Linked DNA regions of Nothobranchius furzeri. Each later gene encodes a partner of the first gene's protein in a complex. Links are inferred from orthologs where the notes say so. Each region holds a gene or a part of one and is shown on either strand. Other genes may lie near its edges.

Region 1 (11,692 bases):
TCCCAAATTATTCCTGATGGCTTTTTATCCTGAGAAACTTAAATCTAACAAAACAGGAAGTAACTTGTTGACTTTAGTTTGCTGAAAACAAAGAGGAGTAAAGCTTTAAAGAAAGAAAGAAAAAACAATCTTTTATAAAATCGCCTCACAGTAAAAATCACGAGGCGCTCCACAGAAACTTGACAGGTGAAACTGGGAAAGTGAGAATCTGGTAAAAAAAAAAATTCATCTGTCACTAATCCAGCCTAAAATGTGAAACTGATGTGTGAGACACTCATTCCAAGCACATCCAGATGTTTCAGCCTTTATCTGTTGGAGTACAGATGATTAAGGCTTACAGCTGATGGAATCCGCCACATTCAACATCTCAGACGGTCAGAATATTGTATTCTAGACTCCGTGTCACGCTCTGATCAGCTGGTGAATCCAGAACAGCTGCAGAGGGTTCCTGAGCCTTTAGATGGTCTCTCAGTCTGAGCTGGATTACTGACACGAATGGATTTTTGCTCCAGATTAAAGTTTTTCCAGTTTCACCTGTAAACTGTAAAAGTATCTGGCTCTAGCGCCTCCTGGTGGATAAAACGAACGTCACCCTACCACTGTCTTCATGGGTGACCCCGCCAGGAAAGGTGACCTTTGAGCAGGGTTGATGGTTTATCCCTTGAGATCCACGTGGCAGGGGTGTGGAGTGAGCACCATATATTATATTTGGTTTTTCCTGTTAGTTTAAAAGTACTTAACTATGGTTTTCATCAGTGGTTCTGACTATATACAGTATGGCAACGCCCACTTAAGCCACCACACCTTAGTTTTCATCTCTGAATGGGTTCTTGGGTGTTTTATCAGGCCCTTTTAAATAAGAGCCATCATTAAAAACATGTTTTCGTTTTATTTTAGAACTAAATGTCTAAAATGTCATAAATGAAGCTCGTTTGAATAAAGTAAATCATTTTCATGATTTAATTTTTAACCCCGACAGCGACGAGGTGGGAGGCTTATCAACCACTAAAACTAAAATCTTACGGCATAGTTCAGCTTCTTTTCAAGCGTGTTTGTAAAGTTTTTTTTAATATATATTTATAAAGCGCCAAATCACGACAAGCGTCGTCTCATGAACCTTCACATAATAAACATTCCAACACAGGTCAGGTCATTAAGTCACTCAGAAAAAGTTTCCTATATAAGGAACCCGGCAGGTTGCATCGAGTCACTGACTAGTGTCAGAGTCTTAACAGCAATCCTCATACTAAGCAAGCATGCAGCGACAGTGGAGAGGAAAACTCCCTTTTAACAGGAAGAAACCTCCAGAGGAGGGTTAGGGTTAGACTCACTGGGGATGGAGAAGACAGAGCAGACACACACACACACACACACACACACACACAGGTTACATTGTGATTTCTTAGTAAATATTCTATTTGGCGAGAGATAAACTTTATTGTATTTATCCTAGTGGATCTATAATTAAACGGGTAAACTAGTAGTAGCACATTAAACGTCAAGGAAAGCAAAAAGTTATCAGGAGAGGGAGAATGTTTAAGTGGTTAGCAGCAGTGTGCTAGACGATGGCCCCCTCCATGAGGCCACCACAGCTCAGCAGAACAAGTCCTGTCACACTGGAAGGTAGCTTCCCAGTAACAAACTCCTCTGAATCGAAGCCATTCAGGAAGCATCTAGGATGGGAATTATTCACCAAGTCAGACTTAAACATTTGCTTTCTGTAATGCAACTTTCACGGAAAAAAAAGGAAACCAACTTGGACTTGGGGCAGCTATAAACCTACATATGGGATCTTTTTTCCCTACTCTTTCCAGCAGAACAGAAAGATGGAAAAGTTTCAGAAAGTAAAACATTTCTAAAAATACATTTGTGTTTTCCAAAAACTTATTTATTAATCTAATAATTTCATGCTGTATAAAAACCAACCCAGCAGAGGTTGCTTCGGTTTCAACATCAGACCAAAGCTGCAGTTTAAACTTTTATTGAAAGGTTTTTGTTACAAGTTTCAGGCACTCGAGTCCCCGTCAGGATGACGTCAGCACCTGGACGAACACTAAAGACAGGATTATCTTACACAAAACGCCGAACAACTCCGCCGTATGTACACTCAAATACACTTCTGCAATAAAACTATACTCTGATAAATACATAACTTCATGGGTTGTTGAGGATTATTTAGGAATTATTCAAAATACTGTTAATCGTCTTTAAATACAAAGAAGGAAAGTCCATCAGGTCACATCGAATTCACCAGGAGGCAGCAAGGAGACGTTACTCTAGTGTGTGTGTGTGTGTGTGTGTGTGTGTGTGTGTGTGTGTGTGTGTGTGTTTTGAAAGGACATCTGTAGAGTTTTGCTGGTCTGAGCGGAGTCGGCTGCTGATGGCGAGCGTTTCAGGCACCTCGTGGCTACATTCATGTTCAAAGGACACTTTGGGCTCAATGAGAGGGAAGTGGAACAAATAATCCCAGAAATCAGACAGGTTGGTTGTTGGGATCAAGTCCCTCTTCCATCGTTCAGCGAGAACCAATAGCAGCACAGAGTTTATCCACCGAGGAGGGACGGGGCGGGGTCTAGTCAAATACACCCTTCCGAGTGGGACTTGGTGATGTCTTCCTGCTGAGTCGAGGCGTTCCCTGGAAAACAAACACGTGAGGACAGGAGAGCTTCAAGGTCCCAAACCGAGAGTCGGAGGACAGAAGAAGACAAACATACCGAAGCCTGAGCTTTGGAGAAGTTAACGTGCGCATAAAGCAGCACCGCGATGTCCTTGTGTCCAGCCTCCAGAGCGATGGACAGAGCGTTACTCCCATCCTGAAGGGGGCAGAGAAGATGTCAAATCTAACTACAGCTCATTTATTTCAGTAAAGACACCCAAACACGTGAAAACACGAGGCTTTCGTTGTGAATAAAAGGTGAGTTCTGATGAAAAGAATCAGAACAAACATTAATCTGATACGGTTTCCCTTCCCGAGTCGACTCACGCTGTCACTGAGCGTGGCGTCGCAGCCCGGCTGGGCCAGCAGCAGCTTGACGATCTCCACGTGGCCGTGCTCGCTAGCACACATCAGCGCCGTGGAGCCCTCGTCGTCCTGGACATTGACGTTGGCGCCGTGAGCCAGCAGGGCTCGAACCATGTCCATCCTGCCGTGGCTGACAGCCAGCATCAGACCCGTCTGACCGGCCTGGAGCACACGGATCACATTTACAGGAACAATTAAAACGAGGGATGAACGATATCGGCTTTTTTACCGATATCCGATATGTCGATATCGTCTGACTCTTAATTTCTGATACTGATATAAACCAATACCAATTTGCTCATAAAAAACTAACACATTTAGCTTACAAACACCACAAATCTCCTGTCATGCTTAAATTTTAAGTATTTTATGTGCAAAATAACTATAATTAAAGTCAGTAACGGGAAAATTTTATGTGCGGGCAGCAGAGGACGATGTCGCCCTCTGCTGCCCGCACATAAACGGAAGTGACGCCACAAACAGCTGGCCGTTCCGGCTGAAACGTGTAAAAGTTAAAAAAAATTTTAATTACTGCACTGTGGTAAATAAGAAAAATGATGATTATGAATCAGTACACAGAACTAACATTCAGAAGAGTTTTAAAAACAAGCCTCGAGTGGATTCTTGTTTTAGTCATTTGTTAGCAGCTACACGTAGCTGCGTGCCGTTAGCTGCTAGCTACACGTAGCTGCGTGCCATTAGCAGCTAGTTACACGTAGCTGCTGCGTGCCGTTAGCTGCTAGTTACACGTAGCTGCTGCGTGCCGTTAGCTGCTAGTTACACGTAGCTGCTTGCCGTTAGCTGCTAGTTACACGTAGCTGCTGCGTGCCGTTGGCTGCTAGCTACACATAGCTGCTGCGTGCCGTTAGCTGCTAGCTACACGTAGCTGCTGCGTGCCGTTAGCTGCTAGCTACAAGTAGCTGCTGCGTGCCGTTAGCTGCTAGCTACACGTAGCTGCGCTCCGTTAGCTGCTAGCTACACGTAGCTGCGTGCCATTGGGACAGCTTATGTTCACTACAACGGGGAAAATTTGGAGCTAACTTCTACTTTACAAGTTGTGCCAATTTGAGTAAAATGTCTCAGATCTGTTATATTTTTATGTTATAATATTTTTAGAGAGGAGAAGTAGCCGAAGAGTTTTATGTATAATAAGTGTGTGGCAGGTAAACGCTGGTTCATTAAAAGACTGAAAACCAATACAGACATTTTCTAATTATAAATTTAATCGCTGATGTCAGCAGGTATTAATGGTAGACTGATAATATTAATAGTAGACTGATAATATCAATGGTAGACTGATAGTATTAATTGTAGACTAATAATATTAATGGTGGACTAATAATATTAATGGTAGACTGATATTAATGGTAGACTGATATTAATGGTAGACTGATATTAATGGTAGACTGATAATATTAATGGTAGACTGATAATATTGAACTCTCCTAATCAAAACCCAGATGAATGGTTTTATTTCTAAAATGATAGTAAGACACACTCAGCTCCAACTGAGCTACACGCAGCTGACCTCTGACCTCTGAGACCCACCTGACTGGCTCGAGCATTCACATCGCCCTTACTGAACAGCTCCTCTACGATGCTCATGTCCTTCGGTGTCTCCACGGCTGCCAGTGCTGCCAGCATGATGGGCGTGTAGCCGGCTTTGTTCTGCTGGTTCACGTTACAAACGTCTGGAACACACACACACACACACACACACACATTACTATTCACCCTTCCTCCTTCAGGCAGAAGCCCGAGTCTGCAGCTCACCTGCATCCAGCAGCTTTTTCACCACCTGGAAGTTGGAGTGTGACACGCTGTAGTGCAGCGCTGTGTTCCCGTTCCCATCGGCCATGTTGACAATGTGGCGCAGCACGGCCGGCGAGATTCCCTCAAACGCCATCAGGTAGTCTTCCACCATTGGCGCCATCGCCGCCTTCTGACTGGACACCCGGAACCACTCGTGCTGCAGCGTATTGAGACCGGCTCTCTGAGGGGGCGGGGTTAGAAACACCTGTTAGAGCTCCAGTGTTTCAGGATAATCGAACATGGTGCAGAAAACAAGTCAAATCTTTTACTTGGTGGCAAAAATACAAGAAATCTGGTGAGTTGTTCGTCTCTTTCAAGAATCTTAAGAGTTGGAAAATAAAAGGATTCACACAAGAATCTCCCTTACATTCATTTTTTGATCTATAATGTTTAACATTTAAACTACATGTAGTTTAAGTTAGCTATAATTACCAAGGACAACAACAATAACTCAGCGGCCTTGGGAGGAGCCAGACTCACCAGGTCTTTGCTGCTCACACCCTTCGAGTCGCTGAGGGACGTTTGGAGAACGCTGCAGGCAGACGACATCTTCTCACTCAGCTCAAACCTTCCCGTAAATAAAACACCAATAAGTGTCACAAACACATTAAAACAGCTCCACACAGCAGATTTCTGACTAAACGAACCCTGATTTTAGTTAAACAGGTGTCCATCCTGCCTCTCCATGTTTAAACAGCCTGACTGATTTGGAAGCAGAAGTCCTTTGTTTACGCTGGGAGGCAATTTTCTCTCAGATTCGGTGCCGATTCACATCTTTCTGTTTAACCTTCTTTTCCTCATGATTACAGCCAATCCAGTCTGAAACCACTGGAGTTGAATCGATGATGCTCCTTACCAGGGCTTCATTTGAGCCGGATCTTGCCGGAACAAGATCCGGGAACCGTCTTATTTTGAAAGGACCGTTCCGGCAACTCACGCGACCAACTTGTGCTTATACGCCGGATTCGAATTACAGGCAAGGCCGTGGGAAGTAGGGGGTGCTGAGCGTGTTTCAGCACCCCCTTGCTCCGGCATCTGCTCTGCCTTTACTGAACTTCGGTTTGACGTCAGTATTTACGTTCCGGGAATGTTTGATTTGCGCCCGACTTTATTGAGCAGGTTTTTAGACTTCAGGTTGGATCTGAGCCCGTTTTTCTTCAGAGGATCGAGTTTAAAGCTCGGCCAGGAGCCACGGCTGATGCTGTTATTTTAACACACGTGTTCTGATTAGAAGTCGTAAATGGAGCCGATAGAACTTGGAAAATCTGGGCTCCATTGGTAATGCCTGTTCAGTTACAGAAGTCTGATGTTCTGGAACCAAACAGTCAGTTAACCCAGTTTTATAAACAAACGCAGACATCTGATCACTCACCTCTCTCTCTTCTCCTTCCTCACACTCTCCTCTTCATCCTTCGTGTCCACGTCCTCTGCTCCTTCGTTTTGGAACTCGTCCCTGATGCTCCTTCCTCCCACATCCCCGTCCTCCTCCTCCTCCTTCTCCTCATCTTCCTCCGACCCAGAGGAGCTGCTCTCCTCTGAACTCGAGTCGTCGCTGGACGTAGTTTCGGATCTGCACCAGAAGGGGGCAGTAGAGACTCAGAAACCTGCAGACCCAGGTGTTCCGCACCAACAGGCTGCAGCAGCTCAGATTTCATGTTTGCATGCAGAAGACCGTGTGGGAGTACTGGGGAAGAACTTCACCCACAAACAAACAAACATTCGATTGTTTTCTCACCCTCCGTTTACGCCGACAAACTGAAGGTTCTTCTTGGTGCCGTTGGAGTCCCCTCGTCCATCTTTCTTCTTCATGATCGACTTGAGGGTGTTCTGACTGCACGGCTCTCCTTTAGGAAACACAAACATCAAAATTAAACCCAGAAACAGCAGATGTAGTCCTAAAAGAAGATCTACAGATCCAGATTCATAAAGTTTCTGTCAAGTCTGCATCGGGGACGTTGTTCTGATGTTTGTGTATTTAAATACATGTTTTCTTTATGCTCCTGTAAACAAGAGCAGATCAGGTCAGATGTTTTCACAGAGCTGTGCGAGAGGCTCTTGGAGGCGCCTCAAAGCCAGAAGCATCTCAGTCATTTTAAGTGCTGGTCTAAAAAAACCCAGAAATGCCAGCAGAGCGGGTCAGAACCCTCACATCTGCCTGGACTTGTACTGATGGAGGGGCCTCTCTGGTGCAGCGAGGTGTGTGTGTGCGTGTGTGTGTGTGTGTGTGTGTGTGTGTGTGGCGTTTAGTAGCAACAGTCTCTACATGTTTCCAATGTTTTGACAAGTGGAGGCAAAGAAAGCAGCTAATGAGGACAAACAGGCTGTTGGTCGGGTTCTGGTCGGGTTCTGGCAGCAGGTCTAGAATCTGCAGGTGAGACCGTGGAAGACGACGACTCTGCCCTCGTCTGCTGCTGACAACAGAAGCCAAACATTTGTACGGGAGGCAGCGTGCTGTCTGAGGGGTTACAGGCTCCGCCCACATATCTGCACACATTCAAGGTGTTTAAAAGTCTCAAATACCCAGTTACTGCTAAACATATTCCAGCAACCACTGAACAAGTCAGAAGGGGCGGGGCTTAGGATTTAAACCGCAGCCAGCCAGCAGGGGCGCTTTAGTTTCCTTCCACTCCAATGATCAGGTTGGTTTGAGACTTCTACCAAGAATACTCCCGATTCGTGTCCTCGAGTCCTTTTTGATCCCTTTAAACTCGACTGTTTGACATCACAGGACACCGAGCGACTCGGACCTTGCTCAGACCAGATGAACCTGAAAGCTTTTCACTAATAAATGCAACATCAGCACTTTTGTTCTGATCCGTCTGATAAAAAATGACTTTTAAAAGATTTCTGGAAATACTTTTTCTAATTGATCAAATGACTTGTTTAAACTGTAAGCATCAGACTTGGATTAGGACCGAGACTTGTATGTCTAGTGACCTGTCTAAGCCAGACCCGCCCCACCACTGTTGAACCCATTTCCCGGTGGTTTTCTCATGAAGGTTTGTTCTGGTCCAGTAAATCTGTCTGGAGGACCACTCGGGTTCCTGGACTTTTACCGTGCAGCGCCATAGACATCTGCAGGTCCATGCGGCTCTTCTGCTCGGCTGCACTGATCTGCGGCTGCAGCACTGGGAGCTCAGGATGGTCAGTAGGATCCAGACCCGATGGGGTCCGCTCAGGCTGCGAGGGGTCCACCTGCAGAGTCGGTACCTGGAGCTGCAGAACGTTCTCTAAAAAAATAAATTAATTAAAAAAAAGGCTGAAAATGTTCAAAACCTCATAAAACAACATTTAAATTAATTATTTGACTAACACCTCATATTTCTCTTCAGCCCTGACACTAATGTCCCAAAACAGCCCACTAAAGGTCAGAACGTGATCAGAACCGAGCCTGGCTCGCAGACCTGAACCCGGTTATGTAACGGCTCCAGAGCCGTGACTCGGCACCAACAGGAGGCGTTGGCCGAGGCAGGACAGCCCACTAAAACAACAAGACGCCGCCGGCGGCTCCCAACAAACATGAGCTCATGGTTGGTTCCTGTCCAAAGCCCCCCCCCCCCCCCCCCCCCCACACACACACACACACACACACACACATTTTTTCAGGGTCAGAGAAAACTCCAGCCTGTCCGATCGGATCTGGATTCTCTTTAAACCACATCTGAACCAGGAATCCAGAATCGGACTCCGGACCGCCGGGAACAAACGAAGGACGGCTGTCGGGATTCAAATGCTGAGAAAAGTCTTAAAAGTTCTGAATAAATATATAATAAATAATTCTGATTAAAAAACGGTAAAAAACTAAACCAGAAAGACCCACGATAGTCATAAAGCTGTGGGTGTGTGTGTGTGCGTGTGTGTGTGTGTGTGCGAGTGTGTGTCCTAATTGCTCAACCCGACTCGGAGCCATTCCTCACAGGGACCTAATGTCACAAGACGCCTCTGTTCTAGTTTCGGGTGTTCGGAATGCCCGGAGCATGCTCACCTTTGCTGGAGTCTGAGTTCAGATTCAGGATGTCCTCCGAGCTCCCGTACCTCATCACCGTGTTGATGGAGGACAGCGTGCTGACCAGCTGACTGTTGATGGACCCGAACTGGGTCTGAGGCTGGCCGAACGCCTCGGCCAGCTCGCTGTAGTTCTCCGCCAGCAGCATCTGCTGCTCCTGCAGGAGCTTCTGGACTCTCTCGATGTAGTGGTCCAGCCCGGCGCCCCCTTGTGGCTGCAGCGAAGCGGCGTCGGTCTCGTTAGTGACGGGCCCGGCTGGCTGGGAAGGACCACATGCGATGTTCCTGGTTTTTAAGCCGATCAGGAAGTTGTCGTGGATGCTGACTGGACCCACACCACACTCTCTGGTTCTGGCAGAGTTTGACTGGCTCAGAGCAGATTCCAGATCCGTGGCGGTCCCGACAGCAACCGAGCGGGTTTTTGCAGCTGTGGGAAGGTCTTTGACAAGTCCCTCTCCAGCACCTACTGTTCTGGTTTCGGTTGCTGCCGTGTTGGTGTGTTTATCGCAAGTCACCAGGTTCGTGTCGGTGAACGAGTCCGTCATGTCGGCCGTCTGGGTGTTGGTGGACTGGTTTGTGAACTCCGCTTCGGTACCGGTCTGCTGCGATGCGGATTCTGGAACAGCCATGATGCCAGAGTCCTCCCTAGCGACAGCCTCCGGGTCAGTTCCCTGCGACTTAAACGTCTTGACCGGATTCACGGAACCATCTCCACAGCCGACGGACTGGGACTCCGTGTTCGGCCATGCTGTGGTTCTACAGAGAAACGATTGGTCCAGAGTCTCCTCAGCGTCGACTCCCGTCTCGAACACACTCCTCTCCGCTCCAACCTGCTTGTGGCAGGTCTCCACCCGGACCTCCACACACTGGTCCTCCACCTCCACACGCTCCCGAACCACCTGGCGGTCCATGGGAAGCTCTGGTCCTGCGGCGACGCTCCGCAGGCTGGGCTGACAGGAGACTCCGACGCTGTGGGTCTGGGGGGTTCCATCTGTGCTGAGGTGGCCCCCCACTCCCTGGTGCCGGGTCTGGACTTTGGCCTCCACGCAGGCGTTGTACATCTCCGGCCGGACCATCAAACCTTTGTCCGATCTCTTCCTATTGGACCCACCGGCTGCTTGGAGCTCCAGCTTCAGCTTTCCCATTTCCATCTGGTGTGTGGTTTCTTTAAGCTGGACCTCCAAGCGGTAGATCTTCTCCTTCAGGGCTTCAATGGCCTGCTGCTGGAGCTCGATCTCCTTCTCAGCCTCACTGGTCACTCCCAGCATGTTCTCGGTCACTACTACTGCAGCGTTCCGTGTTTCCAGCCCCTCCGTCATCACTCCAATGTCCTTTATATGACGGGCGACAGAAATGTTCATGTTCTCATCGGTTCCTACGCCAACGGACTTAAGGTGGGACTGGTTCAGTAGGACGTTTTCACACTGAACTTCAGAGACCTTGTTCTCCTTGGTGGTCTTCTCCAAAGCTTGAACCTCTGCAGCCAGACGTCTGAACTCCTCCACCCGCTGCGAACTCTGCTCCTGGACTTCCGGTTCAATGATCTTCAGCTCGGGTTCCTTTTGGATGGAGCTGGAGTTCTCCATCTGGTCGGCGCTGCCCACGCTGTAGGAACGCTTGCGGAAACCCCCGAGCCCTTGACTTTTCGACTGAGCAGCCAGCTGTCGTTTCTCCTCCTGCAGAACAGAAATCTTCACCTGCAGGATGGGGATGGTTTTCACCTGCTCCTCCAGCTCCTTTAGCCTCCTCAGAGCAACAACCATCTGCTCTCTGATCTGCTGCAGGTGCATCGGGCTGACGTTGGTCACCGGGGTGGCCATGCCGGAGCTCAGGGGGCTGTGGCGAATAGAGCTGCCCATGGATGCAGGGTAGTAATGGTTGTAGTCCCCATTGGACAGGCCATTGAGGGACAGAGGCTGGTGGGTGCTGGGGGAGATCTGGCTCGCGGCAACAGAACCGGAGTAGGAGGACAGGGAGCTGCTGGAGCCCATGCCACTGAAGCTGGCGAGGCGGCGGCGCGGCATCAGAGGCTCGCCGTGTGGCTGCATGAGCTGACGCTCCTGCTCCAGGCGACGGCGGGTCTCCATCAGGGTCTTTTCCACCTGGGAGTTGTGACGAAGGACAGACCTGGGAGAAGGAGGCGGGAGCTGCTGCTTCTGCTCGGAGATGCCGGAGTAGGACTGATGCGTCGGCGCTTCACAGGCCGCCTTGGAGACGGTCAGCGGAGCAGCGTCCTGGGGCCTGGGTGCAAAAAACACCGGGGACTGTTTGCCGTCGCTGTTGGAGGAGGACAGGGAGTCCGTGGAGGTCCATTCAGGCCGAGCGCCTGTGCTGCTGCTCCGAGGTGCCGCCAAAGGTTTGGGCACTTTGGGTTTCCTCTGGATGCTCAGCTTCCTGATGGTGTTGCCCCGCTCGATGTCGTCGACATATTTGAGGAAGTCCAGGTCCAGCTGGTATCCGTAAGGAGTTTCTACGTAGTAGGGGGCCTCGGAGTCCTTCTCATCCCCGGTGGTGAGGCATGTCTGGTCTCGTTCTGAAAGAGAAGACGCAGGAAATGACATCGTTACGGAGCATTGCTAGTCGTTCCTGGTCCTCAAAGGCCACTTCCTGCTTCCACACACCTGGTTTGGGTTAGTGGCTGATCTGCACCAAAGGGAAGGCGAGTCAGAAGAAGAAGAAATTATCATTTCTATAGCGCCTCTCAAGATAAAAATCACGAGGCGCTTCACAAAAACCAAAAATGTAAAAATATAAAAAAGAACTTAGAAAATGGTTAAAAATATATTTAAAATGAGCAAAAATAGACAATTATGATTTAAAAAAATGTTAAGAAAGAGAGAAAAGGAAAGAGGG
Region 2 (12,336 bases), on another chromosome or scaffold:
GCTGGGATTTGGCTCTTCAAGGGTCTCTAAGGGAACTGGGATGTGTAAAGCTGGGCGGACACTGTGCAACTTTTTCACTCGTAGCACTCAGCTTCAGTTCAAACCGTACGACTTCCTCGCAGGGCAGATCTCACGAGTCATGCGCTCACACTGCACGACCCAGTTCTCGGTTGCGACCTGACTGCTCGCTCACACTGCATGTCTGGTAGCAACACATCGGCCCTAAAAATATGCTAAAAATAGCAGTTTTTACACAACACGTCAGACTTTTTTGCGTTGTCTTGCCTGTTGTCCTTCGGGAGTGCTGCAGGAGGACACACAGGGATTTATGGGGGTTGGATGAGGAAAACGAAATAAAGAAAGTAAATCTGTGTTTTGTGATCAGTTTAATTTGACATGAACACGACAAACACGCTTTCTTGACAATCTTTGTGAGTAAAAAAAACGTGTAGAAATAAAAACGAACAACGTGTGTTATTAGGGAAATAGCGGGTGAGCGGTGTTGATCAGGGTATCCGCGGGTCCTTAAAAAGTCTTAAATTTGCTTTTCCAAATTTAAGGCCTTAAAAATCCTTATAAATGACAAATATTCCTTAAATACAGTTTCCAAAGGTCTTAAATCACCAAAAACCCATAAACAAAATTATTTTATTACTGTGAAATTTTCATGAATTTCTAGTTGGTGTTCAGCATTTTTGTGTACGATGTTGCCGTAAGTGGAACCGTACACACTCAGCTGGTTGTGAAAGGGGGCTATTTTTAGATGAGCACATTAGCTGGTTAAGCTAGTGGGAGCTTGCACCATGGGGAAGTGCAACATTAATGGTAACTGGCTGGCTAATCCCACGTTCACGATGTGGTTAGCACCGGTTCCAGGCAATAGCTGGAAATTATAGCTTAAATTTAATTTAAAAAATAGCTTAAATTTGGTCAAAGTGGCCTTAAAAAAGGTCTTAAAAAGTCTTAAATTTGGCTCCCTTAAACCTGCAGATACCCTGGTTGATGCATGATTGCGCATGCGCCGTGAGCGGTTCTGGTACTTTTTGGGTCGCAGCTGCTCGCAGCGCCGCTTCAACAGTGCGATACCCTCACGAGGGCCGAGCAAAATATCAAACACACCAGAAGTTCGTGCGAGCTCACGATTGCTGATCGGTAGCTGGTCACGAGGTGTTAATCGCCTCTCGTAACCCCCTGTACACTACACGACGCTCGGCGCAAAACTCGCCCCGATGTCGTGGATTCTCGCACGAGTGGAAAATCGGCTCAAAAAAGTGAAGAAGTCGCACAGTGTACGCCCGGCTTTAGGCAGGTGTCTGGTCTGAGAGCTGAAAACACACAACAGCTATGCTGCAGAACTTCCACTTCTCTATAGATGTCAGTAATACAGAATCCTAAATGATGTGATGTATGAACTATGGATCTTTTTAATTTGGTGTGGTGGGTTTATGATTAGGTTAGATTAGTCCAAGTCGTGTGCACTAGATATGATCGGATTGTGATTTTCAAAGACTTAATTTATTTTCTTTTTCAGCATATTTTCAAGTACCTTCAAGCTGAAGCCATCAAAAAAGACAAACCTGACTTTTTGATGGGGTGGAAAGGCCTTTTTAAAATGGTAAAGCTGGACTGTTTCCTTCTGTAGCTGCTGAGCGGTGATATTCTGACCTCCTGGATACTGATGTTGTTTTGGTGTTTTACAGAATGTGGGTCGCCAGAACAACGACAGTGACTGTGGTGCTTTTGTACTACAGGTGAGTTTGCAACCAGTCCCAGTAGTTGATCACACATACAGGCTGCACCATTAAACAGACCCTTGTTGCCCAGTACTCCTGGTTTCCCATCAGCTGTGATCACACGCTGATCAGCTGGGACACTTTGTTGGTGGAACCCAAAGTCCTGGAGCCGAGTTGATGTGCACCTATGTTTAAAGGGACTTTACGGACTTTTGAATTTTTATGCTCGCGATTGCCCCCTCAGGCCAAAAGCGTAACGGCAGCTTCAATAGTAGGCTCGTGCACGAGGCGCGCATGCTGTACGTGCACACTCCTTAACGAAAATAACAGCTGAGACAGTCGTGTGTGTGTGTGTGTGTGTGTGTGTGTGTGTGGCCCGGAGGACAGGAGAACGCGCAGCTAATTAATTAAATAATTTGGTTCTGTACCTTTCTCTTCAGCACAGCCGACAAAGGTTTATGATGGGTCAGTCCTCCTGCATGCTCAGATCATTCCCTTCCCTTGCTTGAAAAATTGTTCCAAAATGAAAGTTGAACCCACAACTTTTTATCTGTGAATTCAATGCTGATCGGCAAGTCTCAAATAAAAATTTGTACATCTTACTGTAAAAATATATACCATTAATGTAAAAAATAAACTCTCAAGTAAATATGTTCACATCTGGATTCGAACCCGGGTCTCCCACACAAGAGTCCGACGTCTTACTAGGTGAGCTAAAGCGCCAGTGACACCCTTTGTATCTGTAACGTTTATATCCTTGATTGCAGCTGAAACAACGTTCAAAGAACGGTTCGGAGTGAAAATGGCTATTTTGTTGCTAATTAGCAGGAAATATCTAGAAGAAAGTTCTACAGAAAGTAGCTAAGGGTCCTCAGAAATGTAGCTAGCTTTGTCACTAGGCGTTAGGAACAGCGACAAAGTGGCACTGCCTCTCTCTCTGCTGCTAAAGCTACGGATAGCAAATGCTACGGGCGATGCCTGAGCGTGAACGCGCATGAAGCAGCCTGCTCGACCCGAGCATCTCTCTTTTTCTGTGATTTTACAGAAAAACAGGCAATCACAGTAAAAATGCCAGGGCTCATTCTACAGGACCAGGGCATTGCAGGAGAACGTATGAAAAAGACATTTATTATTTCTATACATGTTTTGGCTGTCACACTTCCATAATGTCCCTTTAAACAGCCGCACCAACACGTTAACCACAACAACGCTTGGCTGCGATTGGCTAAGAAAGGATTGTTTGTTTTTACACTCAAATGCATTTCAGAATGAGTGAAATGTGTCTGAGTTCCTTGTGTAACGGGAGCTTTCCACTACGGCTGCAGTGGGTGGGCGTGGGCGACCCAGCACATCAGTACCGCGAGGTGATTTGTACACAAAACACAACAGAGAAGAACACGGTAGTGATGCCGAACATTCTGCTCAGTCAGTTGCTTTTTGTCAGACCCTGAAAAGGTTGCAGGCAGCGAGGCGGACTCCACCCCCTAGCCAAACACTGACCGACATTCACCGTTATCGGCCCGGGTCGTTAGGCCTGGAACCACATCGATTCAAGTGTGAAAAAAGAGCGGTGACTACAGACGTGTTACTAACGGAGATGGCCTAACCGCGCTGCTCTGAGTGGGACACAACTGTCCAGTAAAACCTAGAACCTGCAGCCGTCTGCAGCACAGACATGAAGCGTTGGGTTAGCGTTTCCTGGTGAGCGTGCCTTGGTGCTGTTAGGAGGTGAATGCATAAAAGTAACTTGTGTCTGTTCTTTTTCCTCCCTGTCGCAGTACTGTAAGTGTCTGGCTCTAGGACAGCCGTTCGGCTTCGGGCAGCAGAACATGCCCCAGCTCAGGAGGCAAATGTACAAAGAACTGTGCCACTGCAAGCTCACCCTGTGACCTTTCACCTCTAGCCCCCTCATCCCAACCACACAGAGGTGATGAAACAACTGAAGGACAAGGGTAGGAACTGATGGGCTGGAGAAAGGACTAAACAAAGCCTTTGTTGACTCCTCCTGAGAAAAGACACTTTGCATATCCACTGTCACCGTTTTCCTTTAGTCTGCTTCCCTCAGTTCACCCTTCTGAAAAGTTGGTTTGAATTTAACGCCGTAGTTCCTGTATAGTAGCTGCCAGAGATGAAGACCAGCATCCATGTTGGGAATGAGCTTATTGTTCATCCTACTGTTGACTCTGAAGCACGAATAAGGGTTTAGAGGAGGCGGTTCTAGTTTGTCATCATTTCATGCTCCTCACGGTTTTTGTTTTTGTAAAACCAACAATATTGCCACCCATAATAAAATGCTAGAGTGAGTTTTTGGACAATGTCAGTTTGTGTTGGTACCATTTCTCTGTGTAGTTTGATCCGAACCCCTCATCGATGTCTTCAGCTGGGTCAGCGCTGGGCCTGGATCTTGGAGTAAATGCTGCCAGGAGAGGGTTTTCATAAGAAGTTTGTTTGAGCTTCACCGTCAGCGGACAAGCCAGACCCCCCCCCCCGGCTCCAGCACCGTAACCTTTTTGCCTTCTCCAGTAACAAATGTAACTGAGTAATGTGAGTTTTTGTTTCTGCGTCTCAGGGCAGCCAAACAAAGACCCAGAGTGAGGGGAGCCTCTACTTTGTCTTTTTACTGTGTTTTTATTCCTGTCAGTAAATGTGGTGAAATGCGTATTGCTTTGAACTAATGGTGTTGAAACGGACTACGTTTTCTGTTCTTTTGCAGTAAGTCTAAAAAATGTTTTAGGTTTTTTTAAGCCATTTTGGTGGGGACCACAGCAGCTACACAACAGGCACCATATGTCCACAACTGAGTTACGTGCTTTCTCTCTTTTTTTTTGTTCCAGTGTATATATATATAAAAATATATACACAAAATAAACATCATACTTGTGGATAGTTGTGTTTTTAGATTTGCATCCTGTTTTCCTCAGTTGATGCAACAGAGTTGTTTTCTATATCTTCTATGATGCATTATGGTTGCTAAAATAAAAAAAACATGTGGCAAACAAACTGTGTATTTAAAGCTTGAGTAGCTAGTCATCCATAAAGTCAGTGTGATGATAATAGGGATGCAACGATACCACTTTTTTCCAAACCGATACCAATACTTGGATCTGAGTACTCACAATACCGATTACCACTACCGATACTTCTACCACACAAAAAAATGCAATGATTTGGAATTCAGATTTTATTTTCTTCTCTGCTTTCAACAGGAGGACTGTGAGGTAGATAAAAAGTAAAATATATGAAAAGAAATCATCACAAAACCAAAATATTAGGTGAACAGAAATGACAAGTTACAGTGAAGCCATTTTCAAGCAACTGCATTGGTATCGGTTAACTTTTACCGATACTGGTATTGGTATCGTATCGGTGCATCCCTAGATGATCATTCATAATTTACATAAAAAAACATTTCATGACCCGAACAAGTGGAGTATATTCTTACAGAACCTTCCAGCAGGTCCGGCCATTCTGAGCCACTCTTGCTTTAGTGAACTAAAAATGATTCATCCTAAATGTGTTGATTTTGGACTCGACCGCAGCATTTACACTTGTGGTGAAACGTGATTTTAAACATCTATGGATTAACATATCTGAAGATTCAAGTGGCCTTTACTCTTTGACCAAAACAGACAGAATGAGAAAGTTTACAGATAACAGATGTAGGGAGCACGGACTATCGCCACTGAGGTCAGAGCTCAGCTGACCTGCACAGGTAGGACAAAACAACACATTACTGCTGTCAAAAAGAATTACTGTGACAATTTATTAGAACTGCAGAAATGTTTATAAGAAAATACATTTTTGTAATTGTTTTACAACATTTTGGGAGGGATAAAACACTTTGGTACAATACATTTGATGTACTAATTATGCACTGTAAAAAGAGTCCAACCTCACAATAACTTAGAAAATGAATAAACTCTGAATGTGCGGTGTAAGTTAATGTTCAACTGAAAATGATTCTCATTATTGACCCATTTTATCAGCCATTAAAGGTCAACATTTCGCATTTATTTTACTATTGCGGTTAACGTTTTGCCCTTTTTGGGCATTATTGTTCTTACAGTAAAGGTTTGAAGTCAGCTCTGAATCAAGTCCCCGCGTCCCGCTTCGCTCTCAGTAACAAACCATGATTTTTTATCTCTAATAGACTTTCGTTCTTGTCAATGTTTGTTTTTGATCGTTTAAACGAAAAAGATCCCTACCTCTTTCTGGTGGAAAGCAAAGTTCCGCCTAGTCCCGCCTTTTAAAAATACATGTAGGAGTGGACCAATCACGAACCTCGACAGGCGGGTCTACAGAAAAGTGACGGTGATGTTGTCCAATGAAAATGCGACGTTGTGAGTTCTTCATATATAAGAATTTTCTGCCCCGGATTCTTTCTTTGGAATAATGTCGGCTGAATATGATAACAGGTCAGTGAAATAACGAATTGTTCAAACAATATTATACTGTTTTATTTACGATATTTATTGCCGTTTGTGTTTTTTGTGTCGAATTGTGAGAATTGGTGACTAGGAACTCGCCCGTAATATAGACTTTGAGGCACCGCGAGTGGCTTATTAAAAGGACTAGCCTTGTTAGAGGCCTGTTCTCAGTGGTGATGCTAGAATCTCAGTCTTATTGATCGATACTGATATCACTTAGGTAAACCAGTTCAAAAGTTGATTTTGTAGGTTTAATCGCGTATTTGTATTCGCCAGAAGAGTGAACGTGTATTAAAGATGTCGGCCCTGAGAAAAAAGAAAAGGCTGCCGGTTCCGTGTAGCACGTGAGGGCTCCAGGCCTTCGCCGACTTGGTAGTTTAGGGTGTCTGCCGTCACTCCGTTACCAAAACCAGCGAAATGATGTTCCGTCTGTGATTTCTCGCGTACAACCGACCATTTGCAGCCTTCCCGTTAGCGTAGGCGTTAGATGTTCTGGCCTCGGTGATCGGTGCACATGGCGGCGCTAACTGGGAGGGTGGACATGCTAACGCGACTTTTCATTTTTCTGTCATTGCCGCCGCTGGAGCAACCCTAATCCGTTCCTCACGGTTTCCCTCGGCAAGGAAATTGTTGGTGATGGATTCTACTAGCTGTATCCTTGGGTAGAGACCCAGAGGCCCGCTTAGGACCAGCTAAGTTAGCAGGCCGTGGCTACAAGCTAACTCTGTCTCGCTGGACCGTTGCCATCCGGAACGTCATGTTCCGTTTTTGCTCGTTAAATACTTCATCTGACCGTAAACTCGAATGTTTTCCGGGCCACGGCCTGTTTCAGTGCCTTTGCTAGCTGGTCGGATCGACCATCTTGAATGCGGCCTACGATAAAAATGGCGGACTCCGTTGAAGGATCCAGTCTGGTCGCTTTACCGTTTAACGACTTCGGTCGGTTCTACAGACTACCGGGCTGGTTCCGATCGTTCTGGACCCGTTACCGGACCCGTCTGCTGACGGAACCCAGAGAAATGATGGATCCGTGATTTTAATGAATATTCATTGTTTGGTTTCAGAGACAATGGCCCCGAGGGCATGGAGCCCGATGGCATCATCGAGGTAAAAATTTCTACTAATTAAAGGTTTCTGACGTAGATGTGTTCCTGCTTTTTACATATTTGATGTTTCACATGTGCAGTAACTGCCTTGTATGATTAGGAGAGATTAAGCTTTTCCATCTGGACTGAGTTTAAAATGAACAGGATCCTTTTGATTCTAAGGCCTTGTTGCTGATTCTGTCTTGGTCTCATCCGATCAGCATTTGTAGGAAATATTGACGTCACTCTGCCTTGTTTCTGTCTCCCAGAGCAACTGGAACCAGATCGTGGACAGTTTTGATGAGATGAACTTGCGTGAAACTCTGCTCAGGGGAATCTATGCTTATGGTTTTGAGAAGCCATCTGCTATCCAGCAAAGAGCTATTCTCCCTTGTATCAAGGGTAGGTAAGAGGACTGGCCTCAGGGTGCACTTTAGTGTTTTCCTTAGATTAACTAAAATCTCAGCAGCTTTGTTTTGTCTTGTGTGGTTGACTGGTTACACAACATCATCGTACCGATGACTCATCAGCCCTGATGTGGCTAATGTTGCACCTTTAGGACAAGCCCGTATCAGCCAGCTGGAGTGGAGTTGGTGATGATGATCTGGATTAGTTTAGTTGAAAACCCTTTCCGTCTCTCTGGTCTCCAGGTTACGATGTGATTGCTCAGGCCCAGTCTGGCACTGGGAAGACTGCCACATTTGCCATTTCCATCCTCCAGCAGATCGACATAGAGCTGAAAGGCACCCAGGCTCTGGTTCTGGCTCCCACCAGGGAGTTGGCTCAGCAGGTAAGGACCCAGTCACACCAGTTAGGGTGTTGGCTATTGATTTCTCAACAGGCCTGTGACTGAACTGACCCAAGGGACTTAAAACTGGCTCGCCCAGCATGAGCAAGAGCTCCTCATCGCTCTTCCCTCCGCCCACCCACTAGACCTACTTGGGTTGAAATTGAGTTAAATGCCAAAATACAAAATTGTGATTTTAAAAATGTAAAAAAGGGGAGGGGGGGGGTGGAAAACGATCAGTGGCTCCTGGGAAAGGCGGGATAGGTTGAGCAAAATAAGGACAGTGTTGACGAAGGTCGCGTGAAAGCCAGCTTAAATGAGTGGATGACCATGTTGTGAAGCACCTTGGGGGGGGGGTTGTAGGCCCTTTACTACTAGGTGGGGACAGACTGGGTGACTAGTGAGTTTAGTGCATTGCTGCCACATCTTCCTCACCTTAAGTCTGACGTTGGTTTAGGGTTGTGGTTCCTCACAAACCACCTGGCTTGTGTTTGCAGATCCAGAAGGTGGTTCTGGCTCTTGGCGACTACATGGGGGCCAGTTGCTACGCCTGCATTGGGGGCACCAGCATCCGCAGTGAAGTCCAGAAGTTGCAGGCGGAAGCTCCTCACATCGTGGTGGGAACCCCGGGCCGTGTCTTTGACATGATAACACGTAAAAACATCTGTGAGTACTTTATCCGTCTCTGGGAATGACACACTTCTGGTAGATGGACTTGTATTGGACCAGGCCTAGAAGGTACCAAATGGTCGGGTTCTTTGGGTTAGTGGGTTGTTTCTTTTAACAGATCACTTCCTGAACCCAGGAAGTGCAGTATGATGATGAAATCCATGCGTGTCAACTGACTCTTGAGTCGTCCTGGTGTGGTGATGTTCAGGCTAGCGTTCTGCTGACCTGGGTTTTCACAACATCAGGGACTTGGAGACATGATCACACCCTCATGGTTCTGAGTACTTGTGTCAGGAGGTACCTTTAGCTCTCTGGACTTAGTGTGAATGAAAACAAGAAGTCCTGTCTGAAGTGACTTCCCAGAAGGAGGACTTAAAATAGGAAGGCGTTTCAACATCAGGTTCTAGCATTTGTACAGGAACTTAAAAAGCGGCGTTTTGTTTTTCAGCCTCTAAATACATCAAGATGTTCGTGCTTGATGAGGCTGATGAGATGCTGAGTCGAGGATTCAAGGATCAGATTTACGAGATCTTTCAGAAACTGTCCAGCAACATCCAGGTAAGACTCCAGGAGGGCTGGGACCTTCAGACCACAGTCTAGGTGTAGAAAAGGGTTGGTGTTCATGCTGTTCTCGTGGTTTGGTGCTGATAGGTTGTCCTTCTGTCGGCCACAATGCCTGCTGATGTTTTGGAGGTCACAAAGAAATTCATGCGAGACCCGATCCGGATCCTTGTGAAGAAGGAGGAGCTGACCCTTGAGGGTATTCGTCAGTTCTACATCAATGTGGAGAAGGAGGTGAACCAGCTTGGGCAGCATGGTCTGTTATGGGTGTGTAGAACCTGGGCTGACCATCTGACTTGGTTGTGTGTACAGGAGTGGAAGCTGGACACGCTGTGTGATCTGTATGAAACCCTGACCATCACACAGGCCGTCATCTTCATCAACACCAGGAGGAAAGTGGACTGGCTCACTGAGAAGATGCATGCCCGAGACTTCACCGTTTCTGCTCTGGTAACGGCCTCTCAGAGCCTGGTGGAACCAGGACCCGCTGCATATCCTCCGTAGAAATTCAGACTGAAGCTCGGCTGGTTTCAGGTTTATTTTGTCTCTCTCAGCACGGTGACATGGACCAGAAGGAACGAGACCTGATCATGAGGGAGTTCCGCTCTGGTTCCAGTCGAGTCCTCATCACCACTGACCTGCTGGTGCGTCCTCTCTCTCACACACACACACACACCCCAGAGTTCCCTCTCCTCCCATCTGTGGTGGTGGTGCAGGACTGATTGTTCTTTGGGAAAGTAACTCACCCGTCCTCCACTGTGACTCGGTTCAAGTCTGAAGCTCTCAACTGAATGGCGGGTTACACGTCCAGCAGCTGGCGTGTGTGTGTGTATGGAGATGGTTAACATATGTGTTCTCCTTCAGGCCAGAGGGATTGATGTCCAGCAGGTGTCTCTCGTTATCAACTACGACCTTCCAACCAACAGAGAGAACTACATTCACAGGTACTCGCAGAAATACTGCGGTTTCCTCACTATGACCCCACCAGCACCACCTCTTCCTGGTTCTGGTGAAGCTCTTCATCCTGCTTTTGGTTCTCCCTTCAGGATTGGTCGAGGTGGTCGTTTTGGAAGGAAGGGCGTAGCCATCAACATGGTGACCGAAGATGACAAGCGAACCCTGAGAGACATTGAGACGTTCTACAACACCACCGTCGAGGAGATGCCCATGAACGTGGCTGATTTGATCTAGAAAGATACCACAGGCTCTTCTTGCCCCAGTCTGCTTATTTTAGAAGTAAAATCTCGTTTTTAACTTTATGATCTGATTATTTTTCTTTGAATTCCATCATGAGTTTTTACATCCAGACACTTGACGTTGTTGTTGGCCTTTCATGAACTGCTTCATCTTTCTGCTGTAGTTTGATCAGACCAGCACCTGAGCGTTAGCGGCTCGGTGCTGATGCACGTGGTTCTTGTTCTGTAGCCGGCGCTCCTGTCTGGTTGATCACAAGTGTGAACATGAGCAGTGTCTTGAAGTGTTTAGTGCAGCACCGCTCGGGTGTCTCCTGGTTGCAACTACAGTTTACACTCCACAACTCGATGCTTTAACCCCACAGGGGCGCTGGGTTTGACCAGACCAGTATTTCCTGACTCCAGTGGGACTCTGCAGCGTTCACCCGTTCATGTAGAAGAGATCCGGTTCAGGAGCATGTGAGGCTGATTTAATAAAGAGCTGTTAATCCAAACGTGGTGTGAAACTTTGCCTCCAGCACCAGATTTCCTGAGCTTCAGCCTTGTGCTTTTAGACTTGTTTGTTTTAAACCCTAATGGGGTGGGAGGGGGGGTGAGAAGTGACATTAAAGGACCAAACCAGAAAACGGAGGTGAAATCCTCTCCTAAACCGGTCGATACCCCTCTTCATACCTCCTCTAGCCTCTTTAACATGACTTAACCTTTTTTTTGAGATCGTGTATCAAGTTTTCTACATTGCTTTCTGTAAAGTATTTATTTTAATGGCCTTTTAAAAATAAAGATTTCTCCTTTTTAACAGTGTAAACTTGGCTCTGCATTCAAAACCAGAAAAACAGTGGATCCTTGCACTCCAGCTGTTCTGAAGGGGTTGGTCACATGACCGTGGGGGTTAGAAATGTGGTCTGTCCATCCTGCTTTACTGGTCTGAGCAGGCCTACCAGTTCCTTTTGAAGTCAGGTGCTGGTTCTGATTGGCTGAAGGCTGGAGGTGAAGCTAGAGGCAGCAGCTCGGCTCCTGTGTAGTTCTGGTTCTGACGTAAACCGGAAAAACATTTATTAAACCATTTCTGACACGGAGAACAATCACGACCCTCCTGGCTGCACATTTAGAACGTGGATCTATAGGAAAAGCTGCCCTGAACATTATCACGCAACACAAGGTACCAGACCTGTTTCCTGAGCCATCAGAGATCAGTAACAGGTGACCCGGCCTTACCTGCATGAAGCGAAAACAACTTTTTGCATCGCAGGAGCCGTTTTATCGCAACCAGCTTGTTTCTAGGAACCAAAGCGCTGATGGGTGCTCTGGTTTGGTGTGGACCACATTGATCCTGGACTGGAGCTCAGATTATAGATGTTACAGGTGATGTTCCCATGACTTCAACTAAAGTCCACTGGACTGAAGACGACTTCCTAAGATGTGGACTCATGAGCAGGTTGGTCCAACTTGTGGTGCTGAGGGTGGAGAAAAGAACCAGAACTATTCGAGAAGTCCACGGTCAAAGTTCTGTCTCAATGAGCATCATGGAAGAAGATAATAGTAATAATGAAGGTCTGGAGTGCTTGACAGGACAATCATTCAAGGACACCATGACTAGCAGAAGACAGCCTGGATTCAAACCAGCGACCCACCAATTACAAACATCACGTGTCCTATGAAATTTATAAAAAGTCACTTTTTGATTACCAGCAAGTGGTACGACAGGCTAGGATCAGATATTATGCCAACATTGTGGAATCAAATTCTCATGACCCACGCACTCTTTAAGGTGACTCAGTACTGGAAACTGCATCTTCTGCCTCCAGGTCCACGGCTGCGAAGGCCGGGACGTGAGGATTTTCTTCACTACTTTTGTGGACAACATACCGATGATTCGGACTG

Evidence for each region.
Region 2: the proteins of kank1a (region 1) and eif4a1b are in contact, whole or in part, in a crystal structure (PDB 7DDX), measured with the Mus musculus proteins. The link is inferred for Nothobranchius furzeri from reciprocal best matches to the Homo sapiens genes KANK1 and EIF4A1. Residues at the interface, in NP_852069.4 of Mus musculus: Gly1168, Asn1169, Asn1171, His1175, Tyr1176, Val1178, Asn1201, Lys1202, Ala1203, Tyr1205, Met1209, Leu1210, Leu1213, Ala1214, Ala1215, Gln1240, Ala1241, Leu1248, Ser1251, His1252, Arg1254, Asp1273, Glu1274, His1285; in NP_659207.1 of Mus musculus: Lys99, Val140, Arg141, Val144, Gln145, Lys146, Leu147, Gln148, Met149, Glu150, Ala151, Arg168, Arg169, Tyr170, Ser172.

What each region holds. Positions count from the first base shown.
Region 1 is NC_091750.1:37,654,855-37,666,546, reverse strand, and holds the end of kank1a (KN motif and ankyrin repeat domain-containing protein 1a), read right to left. Parts: intron 11,373-11,692; coding exon 8,820-11,372; intron 8,065-8,819; coding exon 7,891-8,064; intron 6,679-7,890; coding exon 6,570-6,678; intron 6,405-6,569; coding exon 6,207-6,404; intron 5,403-6,206; coding exon 5,315-5,402; intron 5,016-5,314; coding exon 4,796-5,015; intron 4,714-4,795; coding exon 4,571-4,713; intron 3,185-4,570; coding exon 2,984-3,184; intron 2,814-2,983; coding exon 2,715-2,813; intron 2,636-2,714; coding exon 2,573-2,635; 3' UTR 2,343-2,572; downstream 1-2,342.
Region 2 is NC_091743.1:86,633,935-86,646,270, forward strand, and holds eif4a1b (eukaryotic translation initiation factor 4A1B), read left to right. Parts: upstream 1-6,040; 5' UTR 6,041-6,125; coding exon 6,126-6,148; intron 6,149-7,224; coding exon 7,225-7,267; intron 7,268-7,514; coding exon 7,515-7,647; intron 7,648-7,895; coding exon 7,896-8,035; intron 8,036-8,529; coding exon 8,530-8,698; intron 8,699-8,845; exon of another isoform or gene 8,846-8,986; intron 8,987-9,149; coding exon 9,150-9,259; intron 9,260-9,352; coding exon 9,353-9,496; intron 9,497-9,574; coding exon 9,575-9,712; intron 9,713-9,816; coding exon 9,817-9,906; intron 9,907-10,126; coding exon 10,127-10,206; intron 10,207-10,308; coding exon 10,309-10,453; 3' UTR 10,454-10,498; exon of another isoform or gene 10,499-10,820; 3' UTR 10,821-11,251; downstream 11,252-12,336. UniProt on the Homo sapiens protein: ATP-dependent RNA helicase which is a subunit of the eIF4F complex involved in cap recognition and is required for mRNA binding to ribosome.